Linked DNA regions of Nothobranchius furzeri. Each later gene encodes a partner of the first gene's protein in a complex. Links are inferred from orthologs where the notes say so. Each region holds a gene or a part of one and is shown in the gene's direction. Other genes may lie near its edges.

Region 1 (4,319 bases):
AAAACATTTAGTGAAGTCAATGTAGCTACTACGTTAGGTAACACTGGCGTCGAGTAATCTTTAGACCTAAACAATTGTGCAAACAAACCCATTTGGCTAACATTCACTTCTTGGGAGAACTCGACCACAGATGTTCAACTGTAAACTCAGTAATAATTTAGCAAATGTAAACTAGTTCCTCCCTTCTTCTTATTAGCATTAGAGCTAATTAGCTGACGACAGTTGACTAGTGTAGAGCCAAAAGCAAACTTGAACAGGTCACTAACTTAGGTATAACTTCGTCGTTGGAACAGTAGAGTTAAAATGTGCAAGTTGCTTAAAAAGACTGATTATTTTAAGACAAAAACTAACCTTTGATGGAAAGTCCGCCGCTGTTGCTTCCTTTTCTGTTGGATATTTGTGGGTTTTATAGTCAAGAGCCAGCTATTAGGTCGATGTAGCTAACGTAGCTTGCCGTGGTAGCTTAGCTAACATCCGTTAGCCTGTGAGTGATTTGTTTTGAAGAAGCACGGGCTAACGTAAGCTAGCTCAACTTCGCTAACGTTAGTCAGATGTGGCTGCAAAACTGTTAAATACGCAAGGTCCATACGTTAATTTCCTCTAAAAATAAAAAGCGATACGTGTCCTTTCTGATAGACAGGGCATGGTTTGTACTCACGCATTAAGTAATTCAAACGCGGGGCTAAGTTTAACATGCAAAGCAAGAAAAACTCAGTCATAAATTTCGAATCAAAATGGCGACATTGTACGATGAGAGCGCGCGGCACACGGGGACGAGCATCAGCTTCACTGCTTCGCAAAACATCAGAGCTCACTCACATGGGGTTCAAGCATCTTAATTGTAAATTATGTAATTTCTGACTCGTTTAATTGTCTCTTACTTTTAAAAATGGTACATTAACAGCGCTTGTGGGAATTGTGCAAATGTATGCGACAAAACGACGCTCAAATTAAAACAAGATCTAAATTATGAGACAAACTCATTATGCAGTAACGCAACAAACACATGAAGTCAAAATTATCGAGACGTTATGCGATATATGTCAGAAATAAGAGATTTTAAAAACACCAGTTTAACTTGAAATTAAAGGTGATATGAATGAAGATGCATATAATCTGATTAAATTAAAAATGCCAATACCAAAATATTAGACTACTAGCTTAAATGCTGTTCTGAAAAGTTTAAAATGCATTTACTTCATTTAGAAGTGCAACAATTTTGACACTTTTACAGAGTGTTAGTTTTTTTTTATTTATGCATGCGAAGTTAACTGCTCAGTTTATACTACAAAGATCAGAAAAGTGGTTTTATTTTAATGAACGAATTACTTAATATTGTATGTTTATAAATATCATCTTTACAGAATTCAAGGGACCCCCCCCCCCCCCCCGGCCACCCACAATGCATTGCGCTCACTCGTTGGATCCGGTTGGATCATGGACCAAAGTGGTGAGCTAAACGCTAAGTAGGCCCTCTGTTGTCAAAGTTTGTTTTTGTGGCTTATTTTTTCGTTTTGCCGCCAGAGTTGCTGCTCTAGTAGTTCTTTAAATTATTACGAACAACCTTCCAGGAATCCGGCTTTGCTGTTGGAGCTTGGTGCCTCTGAAATGCTCCGTTACGGTTTAGGTTAGCTGTGGATTTGTGCTAAAGGACGTCAGTTCACCATTTAACCCTTAAGTTCTAAGTCAGTTGGAATAGTTAGTTGTAACGTTAACTGGAGGTGTGTTCGGTTCCTGTGCCGAATGTGATTAGTTTGATTTTAGGTGTAAATCCAGCGATAGCGTTGTACAGCCTACCTTACCCTGTTTTAGCGCTTAGCTAATTCTTTGGCTAACGGTTTGTAACTTCGTTTTTGTTGCTCGTCCTCAGATTATTTATTGATGTCCGAGACCTTCTTTGTGTTTAGTATTCTCACAAGTAAAGATCAGGGTAAACTGAATTTCGGTTGGATAAAAATAGCCTGGTGTTCTTTCGGAATATTTCTTAAATATGTCAACGTTTCAATCTGTCGCCTTTTATGTGCCTTCGTTTTGAGAATTTTCTCCTTTCTTTACCATAAAAAACACTTTCTTGATAAACTTACGTCACAGATAATAAGCATTATTCTTCAAACCGTTAGATTTATACTTTGATTACATGAGGGAAAGTGTTCCGACACATCAGCAGGCAGAAATGCCAAACATTAACACGCCAAAAAGTAGTTTGAACAAGAACAGAAACGTTTGCTTATTTAACTCATCAGTCGGGTACATTTCAAATAAAGATTTACATAACTTTTGGAACGCAGATGTAATATAATTGTGCTTAATGGTGTGATGCTATCAGTTTTTTGTTTTTATTTTTTGGGTTGTGCATTCGGTGTGTACAGACGGTGATCTTCAAGGGAGCGATGGTTCGGGAAGTTTGGGTGGACTGGATGTTCGCAGACGAATCCCCATCAAGCTCATTTCCAAGCAGCCCTTGAGGAATAAGCCCCAGCAGCGGATGCAGAGGCCTGGCACCAGGCCCTGCAAAAGTGAACCTGGGGAAGATGGTACGCTACCGAGCACATTAAAAAGCAAGTCACCCCCAAATCAACCTTTTTGTGTGATAAACTATATAAATTGTGCTGCAGACATGTGTAGTCAATAGTTTGGCACTTTAGTGCATTTTAGTTAAAATTTTAATTTTCTGACTAAAACTGTCAGTGTTGTGCCGTTGTCAGGTAAAAACTCTGCACTGCATTTGAATTTAAATCTGCCATCGCTATTGGCTAAGAGGTATCCTACAACGTTAGCTGGTACCATATGATGTCACAATGTCGTTGTGAGCGTGTGTGTGTGTGTGTGTGTGTGTGTGTGTGTGTGTGTGTGTGTGTGTGTGTGTGTGTGTGTATTTGTTAGCAGCTCCGCCCTCTCAGTCTGCTAGGCAACAACATTTGTTGCATTTTTCAAATCAGAAGTGGGAGTGGAGTAATACTCTGGTAGGGGGTGACTTGCTCTTTAAACTTTTAAAAAGTAAACTGATCGGGGTTATAGTCACAACATTTTCTGTAGAATTTTAATTTGGAGGTTGAATCTTTTTATGGTTCATGTTGATTCTGTGCTGCAGGAACTGCACAATTCTGGCTGGACTGTGCTCCCAGCAGAATCCACTAATCAGTCATTTGCTCCAATGCAGAGCCTTAAAAATAACTATTTAGACAGATGCTTTTAAAATAAACTGATTTATACACCTCAGTTAGTAATCATAAACATTGTTTTGTTGAACCTGACCAAAACCCTTCTTCTGAGGGTGAGACAGATTTTGCTGTATATTAACTTATAGAATTAACCATTATTCATTAGAATATACTTTATTGTCTCAATTGGGAAATTTGTCATTAGGTCAAAAAAGTTGCACTTCGGTTAGTATAACTGAAAAAAGGAAAAACTACACAGAACCATACTAATCTCCACATTACATACTACTCTTAACAGATGACCTTTGATTATGCATTGTACATAATACACATAGCACATTCCTTAAACATCGAGTACTGCACACTTACACAATCCCACAATACTGCAATTTGAAAATTTCAATCTGAAACATTTTGCCCCAGCTCTATCAGTTGACTAATTGAGTTCTAAACAACAAAATCTGCTTTTATTAATCAGGGTTTTATTGACTTTCTCTTTTCAGTTTTACAATAATACTTATTTTCTCATATTTTGTAGATAAATTCAACTTTAAGCAAGAGGAAAGGTTTGATTGTGGCACCAAAGCTGGCGATGTGTTTGCAAGCCAGCGGAGATTTCCACAACCCCTATTTTGGGACTATAAGGTACGTCAGTGTGGGTTTGCTGACATCATCTTATTATAGTGACTTTCTGTTTTATATATATATATATATATATATATATATATATATATATATATATATATATATATATATAATAAAGCTGTCCATTGACCTTGGGTTAGTGTACACTGTTGTTTTGCTTTGACTATAAAAGCTTTGTGACTGGATTTGAGTATGTCTGAGTGACAGATACCCATAATTCCACCCATTTGCTTTCCCTACAGTTACATTTAATTGGTGAACGGGATGAAGTACCAATTCATTTCTGTGACAAATGTGGCCTCCCTATTCAGCTGTATGGACGGATGGTATGTACTTTGTTCTTGCTTGCTCCCTTTGGTTGGTTTTGAATCATTTTCTGGACTGAGACTCTCCCTCTCCTCAGATCCCATGCAAACATGTTTTCTGTTACGACTGCGCTTTGCTGCATGAGAAGAAAGGAGAAAAGATGTGTCCAGGGTGAGACATGTTTGTTTTTCATTAGAATGACTTCTC
Region 2 (4,305 bases), on another chromosome or scaffold:
CTTATGTCATGTACTCTGAACCCATCTGAGTCCTGTAGCAGCTTCGCCAACAGGCGATAAAATACAGAGTCGTGTTTCTGAGGGACTCCTCATCCGTCTGATGGATCAAACACCATCATGAATGTGGGACTTGTGTTTCTGTTAAAACTGTAAATTCTACTTTTGCATTAAAATGTGAAAACTCAACTGAGATGTTTGTTTGGGTTGGTTTGACTCCGGGCCGATACCGATCTAGGATGAAACCCTGATCCTCATGGGGATTGGCTAATGTGGATTAACTGTTAGTGGTTTTATTTGTTAGGACACTGCATTCACCGACAGATTAGAAAGTTTAGGATTGGTTTGGAACAGTAGATGGATTTCGGGTACACCTCTGTGAGAACCGAGCTTTGCCCAGAACCCTGGTGCTTGTATGGATCGTCCCGAGAGGCTGGAGGTCCGGCTCAGACCTGATCCCTGGTCCTTCCTGTCATTCTGCCCAGAAGAGGAGAAATCTAGAATTCCATCCAATCTTAATCCAAGATTAACTTTGGATTTCCTCAGAACATCTTTTTAGACCAAATCTAGATGTTAGTAACAGATTTATTCTTCATCTAACCAGGAAGGTCCCATTGAGATGAAAAACCTCATTTCCAAGGCAGTCCTGGCCCAGAGGCAGCAGAAGTTGTTTCAGCTCCACAGACATGTTATGCACTAGATTACAGAAGGCAGTTACAACACAGAATCCTCTCAAGGGTTCTCAGTCTGGTTTTAAATGTAGTCAAGGAGAAAAAAAACTAATTCCCAGTTTTCCTGCAGCCTGTTCCATGCAGAAGGAGCAGAGTGAACAAAAGACCTTTAGCCCAGATTGGTGCGAGCAAACAGAACACAAAGTAACAGCTGATCGTCTTCTTCCAGACTGAGGACTTACACTTCTTGAGATTAAGTTACAGATGTAGGTGGGTAGTAATCCAAGCATTGCTTTATAAATGAAGGTGTACCAATGTTCCAACCTCCTGGTGGATAAAGAAGACTGTCCCACTGGACACTGGAGTGGTCCTCAGTAATAAACCTCAGAGGCATGATGACCACATCAATCTCACAAATCCATTGTTAATCTGAATTAATCCATCTACGTCTAATTCATTTTGTGGCAAAAATATTTTCCTTCTCTGAGAAATTCCTTTAAACCAAAAGAACGCCGCCTAACGTCCTGTGGGTGATACCACCACTCTGTCTCATCCCTTGAGTTAGGAACATTTTTCTACTGTTAAGAGGTCAGAGTTAAAAAAAACGTCTCTGGAAATGTTTTGGTCCCAGGAATATTCCATCTAAACCAATTTAACAAGAGATTTGCGCTGGATTGGGACTTCTGGATTCTAGATCAGGACTAAATGATGTGGGCATATTCTCCATCATTTCAATAATAAACTTATTTATGTAAACAAATAAAGATTTAAACGTGAAGCGACGGTAACGCGCGACGTGCTTGCGTCATCGAGTTCTCCGTCCTCGGGGAACGCGCACATTCCTATTGTCCAAGATGGCGGCGCTGCTGAAGCTCCACTGATGCAGTTTTTGTTTTTAAACCTTTTCTGGTTTTTATCCGTAAATGAGCCGAACGTCAGCGGATGCCGTGGAACCGCGTTTCCCCCTGAGCCCGTCCTCCGTAGCCTCGCTCCCGCTAACGCTCCCGGAATCCCGCTGCGGACACCGAAAAGTTTCCGATCCGTCCTCCAGAGAAAATGAAGCGGCAGGCCGGCAGGGAGAGCAGTCCGTCCAGGGCCATCGCTAAACGGACACGGGAGCGGGAGAGCAGCCGCAGAGAGGAGCTGCCCCCGCCGCCGCTGGCGCTTTTACTGGCGGAGAGCAGGAGCTACCGCCGCCGGAGCCGGGAACGCGAGAAGCCGCGGCTCAGGGAGGAGAGGGCGGCCGCCCTGGAGCTCCACCACCGACATGAGCTCAGCCTCCTCGGCCGTCCACCGCTCCGCACCTCGGCAGCAGAGCTCCCCGCCCCCCGGCCGGGCACGCTGGAGTATAAAACGCTGCTCATCAGTAACCTGGGCTCGCAGGTGTCGGACGAGGACGTGGAGGACTCGCTGTTTCACGAATTTAAAAAGTTCGGGGATGTGAGCGTGAAGCTGTCGCACACACCGGAGCTTGGCCGGATCGCCTACGTTAACTTCAGACACCCGGAGGATGCCAAGGAGGCCAGGCACGCCAAATCCTCCAGGTTGGTTCTGGGAGAGCGCCAGCTGAAGATAGAGCCCATGTACGTACGGAGGCGGAGTGTCACCCCACCGGACGTGGGTTATTTACCCCTCCACGCCCCCTATCCGTACAGGCAGCGCTCCCTGTCCCCCCCTGTCCCCGGGGTCAGCAACCTCCGGGAACTGAGAGCCAGACACTACGCCCTGGAGACCCTGGGTCTGAGCAGAGACCGGGACCGGCTGCTGGACTACTATGGGATGCTGGATGAGAGGGGGCGGCCCTACGGCCTGCCCCCCATGCCAGTGGTGGAGGACTTGAAGCCGGAGGATGACCAGCGGGCGACCAGTAACCTGTTCATCGGTAACCTGGATGGGAACGTGACGGAAGCTGAGCTCCGGAGGGGGTTTGATAAATATGGCATCATTGAGGAAGTGGTGATCAAACGCCCGGCACGTGGACAGGGCGGGGCTTATGCGTTTGTGAAGTTTCAGAACCTGGACATGGCCCACCGTGCCAAAGTGGCCATGCAGGGCCGGCTGATGGGTGGGAACCCCATAAAGATCGGTTACGGCAAAGCCAACCCCACCACCCGCCTCTGGGTGGGGGGGCTGGGGCCCGGGAACCCACTGGCTGCCCTGGCTCGAGAGTTTGATCGCTTTGGCAGCATACGGAACATTGACTACGTGAAGGGGGACAGCTTTGCCTACATCCAGTACGAGAGTCTGGATGCAGCTCAGGCCGCCTGCACCCAGATGAGGGGCTTCCCTCTGGGGGGCCCAGAGCACCGGCTCAGGGTGGACTTTGCTAAGGTGGAGGAGAGCCCGTCGCGCCCATTTCCTCCTGGTTACCAGACGCCCGTTACACTCCCTTCCCACTATGACCTTCTTGGAGAGGCATACAGCCGCCATCGCAGCCTTGAACAGGAGCTACGGGGGGCCAGGGAGCGTTCTCCCCCTGCTCACAGCCTGCTCTCCCTGAGGGAGAGGGCCCTGCTGGAGAGAGACTTTCCCAGCAGCCCCACCCGCAGCTTGGAGAGGAGGTCCGGAGGGGTGGAGGCGTTTGGGAGGAGTGGGAGAGCAGCAAGGAGTCGTAGCAAGAGCAGGGAACGTTGGCTGAAGGAGAGGGAGGAGAGGAGGAACAGGAGGAGGAGCAGTAGTCTGTCAGCAGAAAGGCAGACGGAGGAGAAGGAGGTGGGGAGGTCAAGGGTTCGTGGTGTTGGTGGAGCCGTCTCTCCTGAAGCGAGTCCGGACCGAGCTCGGGTCCGAGCTCCCGACTCCACCACAGAACCCCGAGACCATTCCCCTGACAACGGAGGAGCTGGAAGGCAGTCCACCAACGAAGAAGAGCCTCCCTCCAGCCACCATCACAGCAAGAGGGCCTCCAGCGAACAGCTGAACAACCACCACCATCGGAACAGTGAGGCCAATGCCTCGGCTTCTCCTGCAGCCCACACAGACGCCTCCTCACCCCCCGGCACGCTGTTGGAGTTTGCCCAGAGCATGCTCTCCAGGATGTGGAGAGGCTTGTTCACCCTGAAGAACAGCAGCTTTCCTACAGACCTGTTCCTGCTGGAGGGGGGCGTGTCCTTCTTCAACACTGTGATGAAGGACAGCCTGAAGCAGCCGAGCAAGAATCAGCTGAGCCAGTTAAAGATCGCTCAGCGGCTGCGCATGGACCAGGCCCGGCTCGACGAGGTTTCGCGCCGCATCAAGGTGGGCCGCCCCAATGGCTTTGCCATCCTGCTGGCTCTGCAGGGCCCTGTGGACCGCCAGACCCCGGGTCTGGAGCCAGGATTGCAGGTGCGCCTGCTGCGCCACCTGGTGACGTACCTGCGGAACAAAGAGGCGGCCGGTGTGGTGAGCCTGCCCAGTGCCAAGGAGGGTGGGCCGGGCGCCATGCTCTATGCCTTCCCCCCAGGAGAGTTCTCTCAGCAGTTTCTGCAGACAGCCAAGAGGACTGTGGGTAATCTGGAGGAGGAGCACATGGTGATCGTGATCGTTAACGACACTAACTGATGTACAGAACCAACACTTCCTGGTTTGAAACCTTTTAGGATTCTGGATTCCAGCCACACTACACACGTCACTCCGCTTCTCCCTGTGAGCCGGTGGGGTT
Region 3 (4,345 bases), on another chromosome or scaffold:
AGAGCCTCTTGATACTTCTCCTCTGTAACATTGAGGTTATTGACATAGGTAGCATGATGTTTGCTGTGGTGCAGCTGCATTATCTCTGCACAGATGTGAGGCTCCAGGGCTCCATAATCATAGGTCAGGTCAGGAAGGGTGTGCTTCTGCCTTGATGCAGCTATCTGGTTAATGCTTTGGCTGAGGCTGGCTGCGCACCTGAAATTAACAAAGAGGAGAATTGTAATAAATCACGATCCAATTGTGCATCAATCACCGGATACAACTAAACAGCAATTCAAGATGGCTGCAAGCGACTGACTTTAGTGTTTATTCAGGATTTACACAGCCGAAACCATTAACTAAATGTACTTTTAACATAGGCTCGTGTGTAATTTTGTGCATTCGTTTTGACACTTTAAGTTTGCAACTGCATTCAACCCTAGGCATAAAATAATGACGGAAGTAATCTAAACTATTTGGTGCGCCATAAACTAATGTAAACAGCTTGCTAAACTAAGTTAGCATCCTGGCTAGCAAACTGTTAGCTCCTGATGTTTGAAGATCATACTCGATTACAGCACGCAACAGCTCACTCTGCCTGTTTTCAACAACTTTATATATGCCCTAATGTTACGCGAACATCCGTTTTACCTGCGTATTTGCCCAAGTCTGCTCAGCATGTTTCGAATGGACCTCAGCAGGTAACCAGAACCGTGTGCACGCGCTAGTAAATAACTGCCCTTGAAACTGAGCCATTTCAAGTTGACAGACTGCACCATCATTATTATACGATGGGGGTGTTTGGAAGCGTTTGCATGATTTCTGTAATGTTGCGGACGCTGAAAGTTGGACTTCGTCGAAACATTGGTTTGCCGTGTTTGTCAATAAACCTTTAACTTGTGGCATTTTTTATGAGTAACCATGTCATTTTGTTTTTGAAATGCGTTTCCCTATTACGCTGCACATGGTCTTCAGGGCCTTAGCTCGTTATTTTTCTTTTTATTATAAATTAGTAAACAAGTGTAAGACTTGGATTTGTGTCGTCAAAATGTTTAACGAAATTTTGAAACACGAGAGTAATCAAAATAAAGAAATGTTTAGAAGACCACGAGGCACGTGACCCTCTTTTTTAATCGTGACGTGAAGATTGTCTACTTTGTTAAGATGTCCCACTCTTTAGAAATGTTCTTTTTTTTTTAAAAAAAAGTCTTCATCCAATTTAATCAATGACTCAAAGCAAACATGTTTTGCCTGAACCAGTTATTTTAGAAATATGCGTTTCTGCTAGGTCACCTATATTTGAATAATTTTAACTTAATTAACAAATAACATTTTTTGTTTATTTATTTATTCTATTTAGACAGATGTTATCAATTATTTTGGTCGATTGACTCTAAAAAGTTGTACCACGCATAATCAAACATTAACTATAGTAAATTATATAAATAAAACGTTGAAAATATCCCTTGTGTCGTGGCCCTGCTCGAGTTTCAGAAATTATTTTACGAGTGAGGCGTCTTCTCTCTGTTTTTAGCTCTCTGGTATTACTCCGCAGCATTTTCGTCCGTAGCTATTCCACACTGCCGTCAGCTAAAGAAAGATGATTGCGACTAAGCCCAAACGATACCGTTACTTGTCATTTCTCTGAATATTTGACCGTTTATGTGATTGTTATCCTCACAAGGAATTTCTGAAGCCGACAGTTCTGAGAAACATCGAAGATTCAGGGCCAGGTGAGTGTTTTTGTGGCGTCAGGCCTGGTAACTGCAGCCAAGAGCCCGCTAGTTTCAGGAAAAGGAGCGCAAGGGAGGGAGTCGTTTCCTTCACCGCCATTTTGTTATAACAAGGAGCCGAAACAGAGCAAATAATTAAGTGCCACCCATTTGAATTTAAATTATATTTAAACGTTACTTTGTAACTATGAGTTCAATTTACCATTGCAAAGGAGTGCTAAATATTAGTGGTCAGTAGTTCACCTTGGTTAGCTTCTTCGCTCTGCTAGCTGCCACAATGTCCCGACATTTAGCTGTACAGCGCTTATCAACTGGTTATGTTAAATCTTATGTTATCGACCAATGAGTCAACTCTTTGCCATAAAATATGCGGTGTTCTTTCTTCAGAAACCAAAACGCACGTAATTTAGCTTGTGTGCTAGTCGTGACTAGACTGCGTGCGGAGAACTAACGCTTTAGCTGAAAAGATGATGCAGTTAATTCAACCTGCAATTTAAGCAGCAGTAACTGATGATTTCTTGTCATATTTTCTTCTAGAGTTCAAAATGACCAACGAGGAACCTCTACCCAAGAAGGTTAGCGTCTGATCCTGTTCATCTCCTATTTGAACTATGTTCATTTAGCCTTTGGTTGTCTCCAAATAGCAGCCGGCCTCATTGACCAGTTTTTCTGTTTTCACAGGTTCGCCTGAGTGAGTCGGACATGAAGACCCTGACTAGAGAAGAGCTGTGTACCAGGTGGGTGTTCACGCTGCGATTGCTGTAAAATCACGTGTTCATCTAAAAATGTTAAACCTTCTTTTCTCGTTTCAGGTGGAAACAGCATGAAACGTACGTGCAGGTCCTCGAGGCCAAATATGCAGAGCTGTGTTGTAAGTGCAGTTTCGTAAATGCAATCCAGCATCATGTTGAGTTTAGTTTATTTAGCCGTTTCAACAGTCAGCTATAAATGCTACAATGAGTGCATTGCCTAACCTTTGGCTGTCTGTGAAGAGGACTAATCTGTGATGTTTTTTCATCTCATCCCTTCAGCGAACGATGTTCCAGGACTGAAGGAGTCGGAGGAAAAGCTCAAGCAGCAGCAGCAAGAGTCTGCTCGCAGGGAGAACATCCTGGTCATGCGACTTGCCACAAAGGAGCAGGAAATGCAAGAGTGTACAGTACGTATCTGTTTGCCACTGAATTCACTGTTTTGCTTTGGTCGAATGTTGCTCCCCGTTGATCTGTAGGAAGCTCCTTGTTGGGTGATTGATTTATTTTCTCTCTGATGGATGTCGACTCTCCTTTTTGTAATACTGTATAAAAAGGCGATGTTGAATTTTACTTATCATTAGGTTAGGTCACAGAAGTCAAACGTTCACTAATGACAATAGATTAATACCAAATGTAATGTTTTATAGTGATGTTTTGAACAGATGCCTTATTTAAAATGGCAAACATCAAAATGAGTGCTAACATCTGTCAGTGTGGCAGCTGTAGTCGATGTTTTATGTATTTACACAAGATCAGAGCTTCTTAGCCATAAAACACTGCTTATAAGTGCAATATGATCTTTGATTGAGATTAAAATACTAATAGAAGTAAATGTTGCATGGTGTCATTTACACATACATGATATTTTTCTAAGTTTGTGACGTAAAAGGATCTTAAAACAAGCAGCAGCATTTGCAGAGCAGCAGCTGTTATAAACAAACGTGCTGTTTTCTGTCAACAGAACCGGTCGTAAACAGGGATACTGTTATGGCCATTCACATTCATTCACACTGGGCCAACAAGTAGTTAAGGTCAGCCGTTGGCTTTAGACTGATGGTACAGAGTGTTCAGTGGCTTTATGGGGGCTCATCTGCCTTAAAGAGCAGCAGAGCTCACCTCAGCACACCTTTTCTTTCATTTAAAAGCCAAAAATAAGGATTAGGTTCAGTCAGATGCTGCTACTTTTGTTGCTTAAGCCATATTAGTTGTGCCTTTTGGCATATCGTGTAGGGCTGGGCAATAAACCGAAAATGTATCGTTATCGAAATTTCTGACTTATCGTGATAAATGTTCCCATATCAATACATTTGATAATACAAAATTGAAAAGATGTGTGTGGGTTGGCAACGTTCATGTCCCTAGCTGTACCAGGGTTTTTCCTGCATTCAAATTTGCCTGGTGGCCTCCTCCAGCTAATTTGTGCCGCCCCAGCCTGATTTCACTCTGCCCCCAGCTATATGGATGTTATTTTAACTGCAGTTGCAGCATTGCACCACTACGGGGCGCTGTATCAGCAGCGGTGCACAAAAAAGCACTAAAACCGCAGCAGACAAAGATCAAAAATTGCTTTTCTCTCTAGTTACATATCTGTGGTCGGTGCTATTGACGTCCTGATTTTCCCCCAGGCTCTTCCATATCAGAGCAGGGCTGTACAGTGCGATGAAAAACACTGTCTGCGTGTCTGTCTATTTGTAAATGTAACACGGGTGCAACATCTTTGAATTACCATTTTCCCCTGAACTTTATTGAACAAAAGTAAGTTACTTGTAAGAAAAATGCTTTTTACTGGCGCACGACGTGGTCATCTGGATGCAGTGGAGGAAAGGAACCGGCAAAGACGCAAAGGCAGAACCGGTGCAAAGTTTGGGATCAAAAGTG
Region 4 (4,130 bases), on another chromosome or scaffold:
GCACCAGGGACGAATCCTGCCGTCCGGGTTGCGGCAGTGGTTGTGTTCTCCTATCCCCCTGCTCGGATAGCGCTCACGGAACCCGGCCACCTCGGTCCAGTTCATACACCGGCTGCCGGACTCGGTGACATCAATAGCTCCCCGGTAGGAGCCGTCTCTCCCCTGGCTCCGGGCGCATTCGGTGGACGAGGGGATGAATGAAGGGACGCTGCTGGAAAAACAGCCGCTTGCGGTCAGAAGAGCGGCTACTGAAGCGAGAAACGTCGCCTTCATGTTCTGCGACCGTGAGCCGCTGATAACGGTGGCAATCCGTTTCACTCATCAGCTGTTTCCAGACATGCAGGCAGCCCCGGCGCTTTTCCCCGGGAGGGGAGAGAACCGAGAAGAAAAACGACGCAGATCGATGAAACTCTTTTTGCGTAGGCTGATGCGCTGGCAGCCCTTCCGAGAGGAGGAAACCAAATTACTGATTGATCCAAGATCCAGCCAAATGTCACGAACTAAAACGAACTCTACGCGGAGCCGTAATAAATATAACAAAAATTCCCCTAAACCAATTTAATATATGTGTTGGCTAATTACATTTTAGATAGACTATATTTCCCATTTCCCCTCAGTCAGGTTAGGAAATTTTGCTTTGAGAAAAAACGTTTGAAATGTTTTTGCACTGCTGTTAAAATGCTAAAAGGAGAAATTAAATTAAAATTAGGCTATTAGTTATCTGTATTGTTATTGTTGTTATTTAATCATTATATGCTTACTGCTAAAATTATTTCAATGCTATATTTTTATGTAGTACGGCTACAAAGCTGTGAATTTGCTTCTTGCACTAATTTCATTGTCCGTAAGCTTTTAAAGCTACTCGACTATTGATACTGTATTTAAATGCCAATAACACATTCCCTTCTTTTTATTGTGGTATCATGAGCTGTGAGAGAACGGGAAACAGTCGAATATAGCTGTTTGTTGGATTGCCTTTTCCAACTGTTCTCTGTGATTGGGTGATAAATTTGCTGACGCCAAACGTATGCGTCGGACAAGGCTCTTTCATCATCATCGAGTGACTGTAGGTTCAAATGCTTGTTAAATCTTGTAAACAGCGTACACCGAACCTTCTCTGGGTAACCGGAGTTATAGCCCTCAAATCGGTTTATTTAATTTTCTTTGTAGAATTTTATACATGTCTTCAAATTACACGTTATTTGAGTGTTTTATATGTAAACTTTGCAGTTTCAATGCATCGCCCTATATTTGTTAAAGACACACATCTACTGTGATTACTTGTACCGGTGTTCATAACGAGCGCACCCATCATCATTTCAGCGGCTATGTCGATTTAGCTAATGTTTAGCTAGGAGCTTGCTGCTTTCAGAAGTGAACGTAATCCGTATTTAGCAACGACCCGACGTTTAATATAAATACAGATCTACTGTCACAGAGGAGAACATGAACAGTAGGCTTCAAGAAATCCGCGAGAAACAAAAACTGAGACGGCAGATCTTGGCTCAACAGGCAAGTACACCATAGTTAACAGTTAGAAAGTGGCTAACCGCTAACGTCGCTTTGGTCATAACGGAGCTGCAGGGTGCTAAATGCTCACCATAACTTCACCGTCCCTAACTTGGCTGATGTATTAAATACTCGCCTTCCACCGAGCTAAAAGAAAACACCTTCATAGCAAATGTAAATAAGTGTAACCCAAGCTAGAGCCGACTTTATTTGTCGAATGAAATGTAGCAGCAATGCAAAAAAGGCGTTCACAAAGTTCCAGTCAAATGTTTGCTGATGTTGGTTTCTCTGTGTGTGTTTCTCTAAATGCGCAGCTGGGAGCTGAGAGCGCAGACAGTATCGGGGCTGTCCTTCACAGCAAAGATGAGCTCAAAGAGATAGAGGAGACAAGAGAAGCAAGCAGGTAAGGGTTGTTCCTCCTCACAGACAGGGCGGGATCGTCTGAGCTAGAAAAGGGCTGCGTTTGAATGAAATACGTAAATGCAACGTGTTTGCAGGCGCGTTGCAAACTTTTCAAAAGTGTGGGGGATGTTGTCTGTGGATGTCATCAGTTGTAAATTGAAACTCAACCTCAATCCAGTAAGGAGTTCGCGCATGATTCACAGTAACATAGTCCTTCCAAAAACATGCTTAATATTCACCAATGTATAAACTGCACACATGCAGAACGGGAAGAACTAATCTTCCAAACAACAGAACCCAAGTTTTCTTCATCAACAACACCCAATTCAACAATAAGCTGTTAAATCAAAAGGACGTAAAAATACACTAAATACACATTTAGAGAAAAACACACAGCAGCGACAATCCAATATCCTATCCACAGAATCCACTGTTTAAATTAAAGCCCAGACTTCTCTTTCCAACAATATTTATGCACTCTACATGCAAAATTCACAGAACCAGCAGCTAACAAACCACAGCTCATTTCATGACGTGAAAAGCGTAAATACAGTCTTACCTTTGTTGATTCATGGTCATAATCCATGTTATGGTAAAAACAATCCAATCCCTTTGTGTAATCCATCTTCACAACATCACACAAAGCTGATTCGTGGCTGTTTTAGCTTGCATCCATCTGATGCCAAATCCCAAAAATCTAGCCTAAAAAATCAAAAGCAAGCGATTCTATTGGCTCAGAGGTTTCCTAACTAACCTGAACGGCTTCAATAATCCAACGGCGGGGTCTGGAGAAACTCCTGAATAAACTGTGGTTCCAGCCCAGTCCACCAGCGCACAGGTGTACTCGGGTAGAGGCGGGGAGGTTTCGACAAACTTTATTTGTCACTGAATGTTAATAAAGCTGATTTTAAAGTTGGACCAAAAAAAAAACCTATTCCGTAGAAGGAGCGTTCAACTATTCCTTTTACAAGTGGCACACTGTGGCATTTGAGACCTCGCTTTAAGTGTGCATATATTATAAACCTCTGAAAATTGTTGTTCTTCACTTTATCAAACTCAGACTTTGTACAGCTAATGTCAAGATGTAAAATTATGAATTCAGTGAAATTTAAAACTACTGATGCATTTTTCAAAAGAGGTATTCATCCTGAAATCAAACATTTCGGGCAAAATAAGCAAAAGAAAAATAATCAACTTTTTTACAATGTTCCTTGTCTATTTACACTTCATCAGCAACACTTATTCTAATATTCACACATCTGAACAAATCCCACAAGAATTCCTTTTATAATGAGACCAAAAGTAATGAAAAAGACCTTGTGGTTACAGGAATATAGCCATTAAAGTGTGGGCATGTTATTTGTTTTTATTTCAACAATGCCATCAAATGGTTTGTGTTACATTGACTTACTGTTTTATAAGAACATATTATGAATGTAACATTAAACACAGTAGTCAAAAGTAGAGAATGGTGGTGGTGATTATGAATATCAGGACACTAATAAACAATATTACAAGACATTAAAAGTCAAATCAGTAACACTTTAGGAAACACAACTTAATCATTAACCAGGGGTTAACTAACATGCAAATGATACAGTCTGATTTATGAATTACTAATGATAACAAATTTGTGAATGACCTGAGTACATTACACATGTCCAAAAATTAAAACTTATTGTGTTATTTCCTCCAGTTTGAACCATAAAATTAGATACAGCTCAAGGTATGACCTATAAAGTACATTCTTTGGATTCAAAACCAAAACAACAGGGGAGGTAAGATTCAGCAAATACTTCGCAGAAGTGAAAACCTGCTTCATATGAACTGTGGTAACTGAGTAGGTGAGATAAAACTGTATTATTTTTAAAAAGCATCTCCACAGCTGTAATCATCACACTGGATGAATCCAAAAGCAAGACATCCAACACTTAACAGCAATTCAAGCTATTTTCAAGAACAATCTGTGTAACATCTTTGAGCTAGACCAGCGGTTCCCAAACTTATTTAGCTGCGCACCCCCCAGCCCCCCACATCCATCTTTTCCCCTATAGACATTTGATTATGCACAAGTAGGTGACCAGTTCAGGTTTACGCAGAGCAGAAGGAAGGAGAGCGCTCTGGCCACAGGTTAAACGTTCCTACTTTAAGAAAACCATTAAATTGCATTGTTGATGTGCTACCTGGGTACTCTAAATATTTATTTAAAATGAAATCAA

What was found. Proteins that work in one complex are often made in the same cells at the same time.
Region 2: E3 ubiquitin-protein ligase Hakai (region 1) and rbm15b share a complex: the UniProt entries of both Homo sapiens proteins name them as parts of the WMM complex. The link is inferred for Nothobranchius furzeri from reciprocal best matches to the Homo sapiens genes CBLL1 and RBM15B.
Region 3: E3 ubiquitin-protein ligase Hakai (region 1) and wtap share a complex: the UniProt entries of both Homo sapiens proteins name them as parts of the WMM complex. The link is inferred for Nothobranchius furzeri from reciprocal best matches to the Homo sapiens genes CBLL1 and WTAP.
Region 4: E3 ubiquitin-protein ligase Hakai (region 1) and mettl14 share a complex: the UniProt entries of both Homo sapiens proteins name them as parts of the WMM complex. The link is inferred for Nothobranchius furzeri from reciprocal best matches to the Homo sapiens genes CBLL1 and METTL14.

Annotation. Positions count from the first base shown.
Region 1 is NC_091741.1:57,567,297-57,571,615, reverse strand, and holds the start of E3 ubiquitin-protein ligase Hakai, read left to right. Parts: upstream 1-1,489; 5' UTR 1,490-1,608; coding exon 1,609-1,627; intron 1,628-1,666; exon of another isoform or gene 1,667-1,837; intron 1,838-2,369; coding exon 2,370-2,558; intron 2,559-3,699; coding exon 3,700-3,806; intron 3,807-4,048; coding exon 4,049-4,132; intron 4,133-4,209; coding exon 4,210-4,283; intron 4,284-4,319. UniProt on the Homo sapiens protein: E3 ubiquitin-protein ligase that mediates ubiquitination of several tyrosine-phosphorylated Src substrates, including CDH1, CTTN and DOK1. Targets CDH1 for endocytosis and degradation.
Region 2 is NC_091743.1:78,035,166-78,039,470, reverse strand, and holds the start of rbm15b (putative RNA-binding protein 15B), read left to right. Parts: upstream 1-1,488; 5' UTR 1,489-1,724; coding exon 1,725-4,205; 3' UTR 4,206-4,305. UniProt on the Homo sapiens protein: RNA-binding protein that acts as a key regulator of N6-methyladenosine (m6A) methylation of RNAs, thereby regulating different processes, such as alternative splicing of mRNAs and X chromosome inactivation mediated by Xist RNA.
Region 3 is NC_091742.1:5,865,007-5,869,351, forward strand, and holds the start of wtap (pre-mRNA-splicing regulator WTAP), read left to right. Parts: upstream 1-1,528; 5' UTR 1,529-1,715; intron 1,716-2,252; 5' UTR 2,253-2,260; coding exon 2,261-2,290; intron 2,291-2,396; coding exon 2,397-2,452; intron 2,453-2,527; coding exon 2,528-2,586; intron 2,587-2,746; coding exon 2,747-2,874; intron 2,875-4,345. Other genes in the region: sod2 (superoxide dismutase [Mn], mitochondrial), read right to left, coding at 1-198, 634-764. UniProt on the Homo sapiens protein: Associated component of the WMM complex, a complex that mediates N6-methyladenosine (m6A) methylation of RNAs, a modification that plays a role in the efficiency of mRNA splicing and RNA processing.
Region 4 is NC_091746.1:78,155,287-78,159,416, forward strand, and holds the start of mettl14 (N(6)-adenosine-methyltransferase non-catalytic subunit METTL14), read left to right. Parts: upstream 1-1,313; 5' UTR 1,314-1,446; coding exon 1,447-1,512; intron 1,513-1,823; coding exon 1,824-1,912; intron 1,913-4,130. Other genes in the region: prss12 (neurotrypsin), read right to left, coding at 1-273. UniProt on the Homo sapiens protein: The METTL3-METTL14 heterodimer forms a N6-methyltransferase complex that methylates adenosine residues at the N(6) position of some mRNAs and regulates the circadian clock, differentiation of embryonic stem cells and cortical neurogenesis.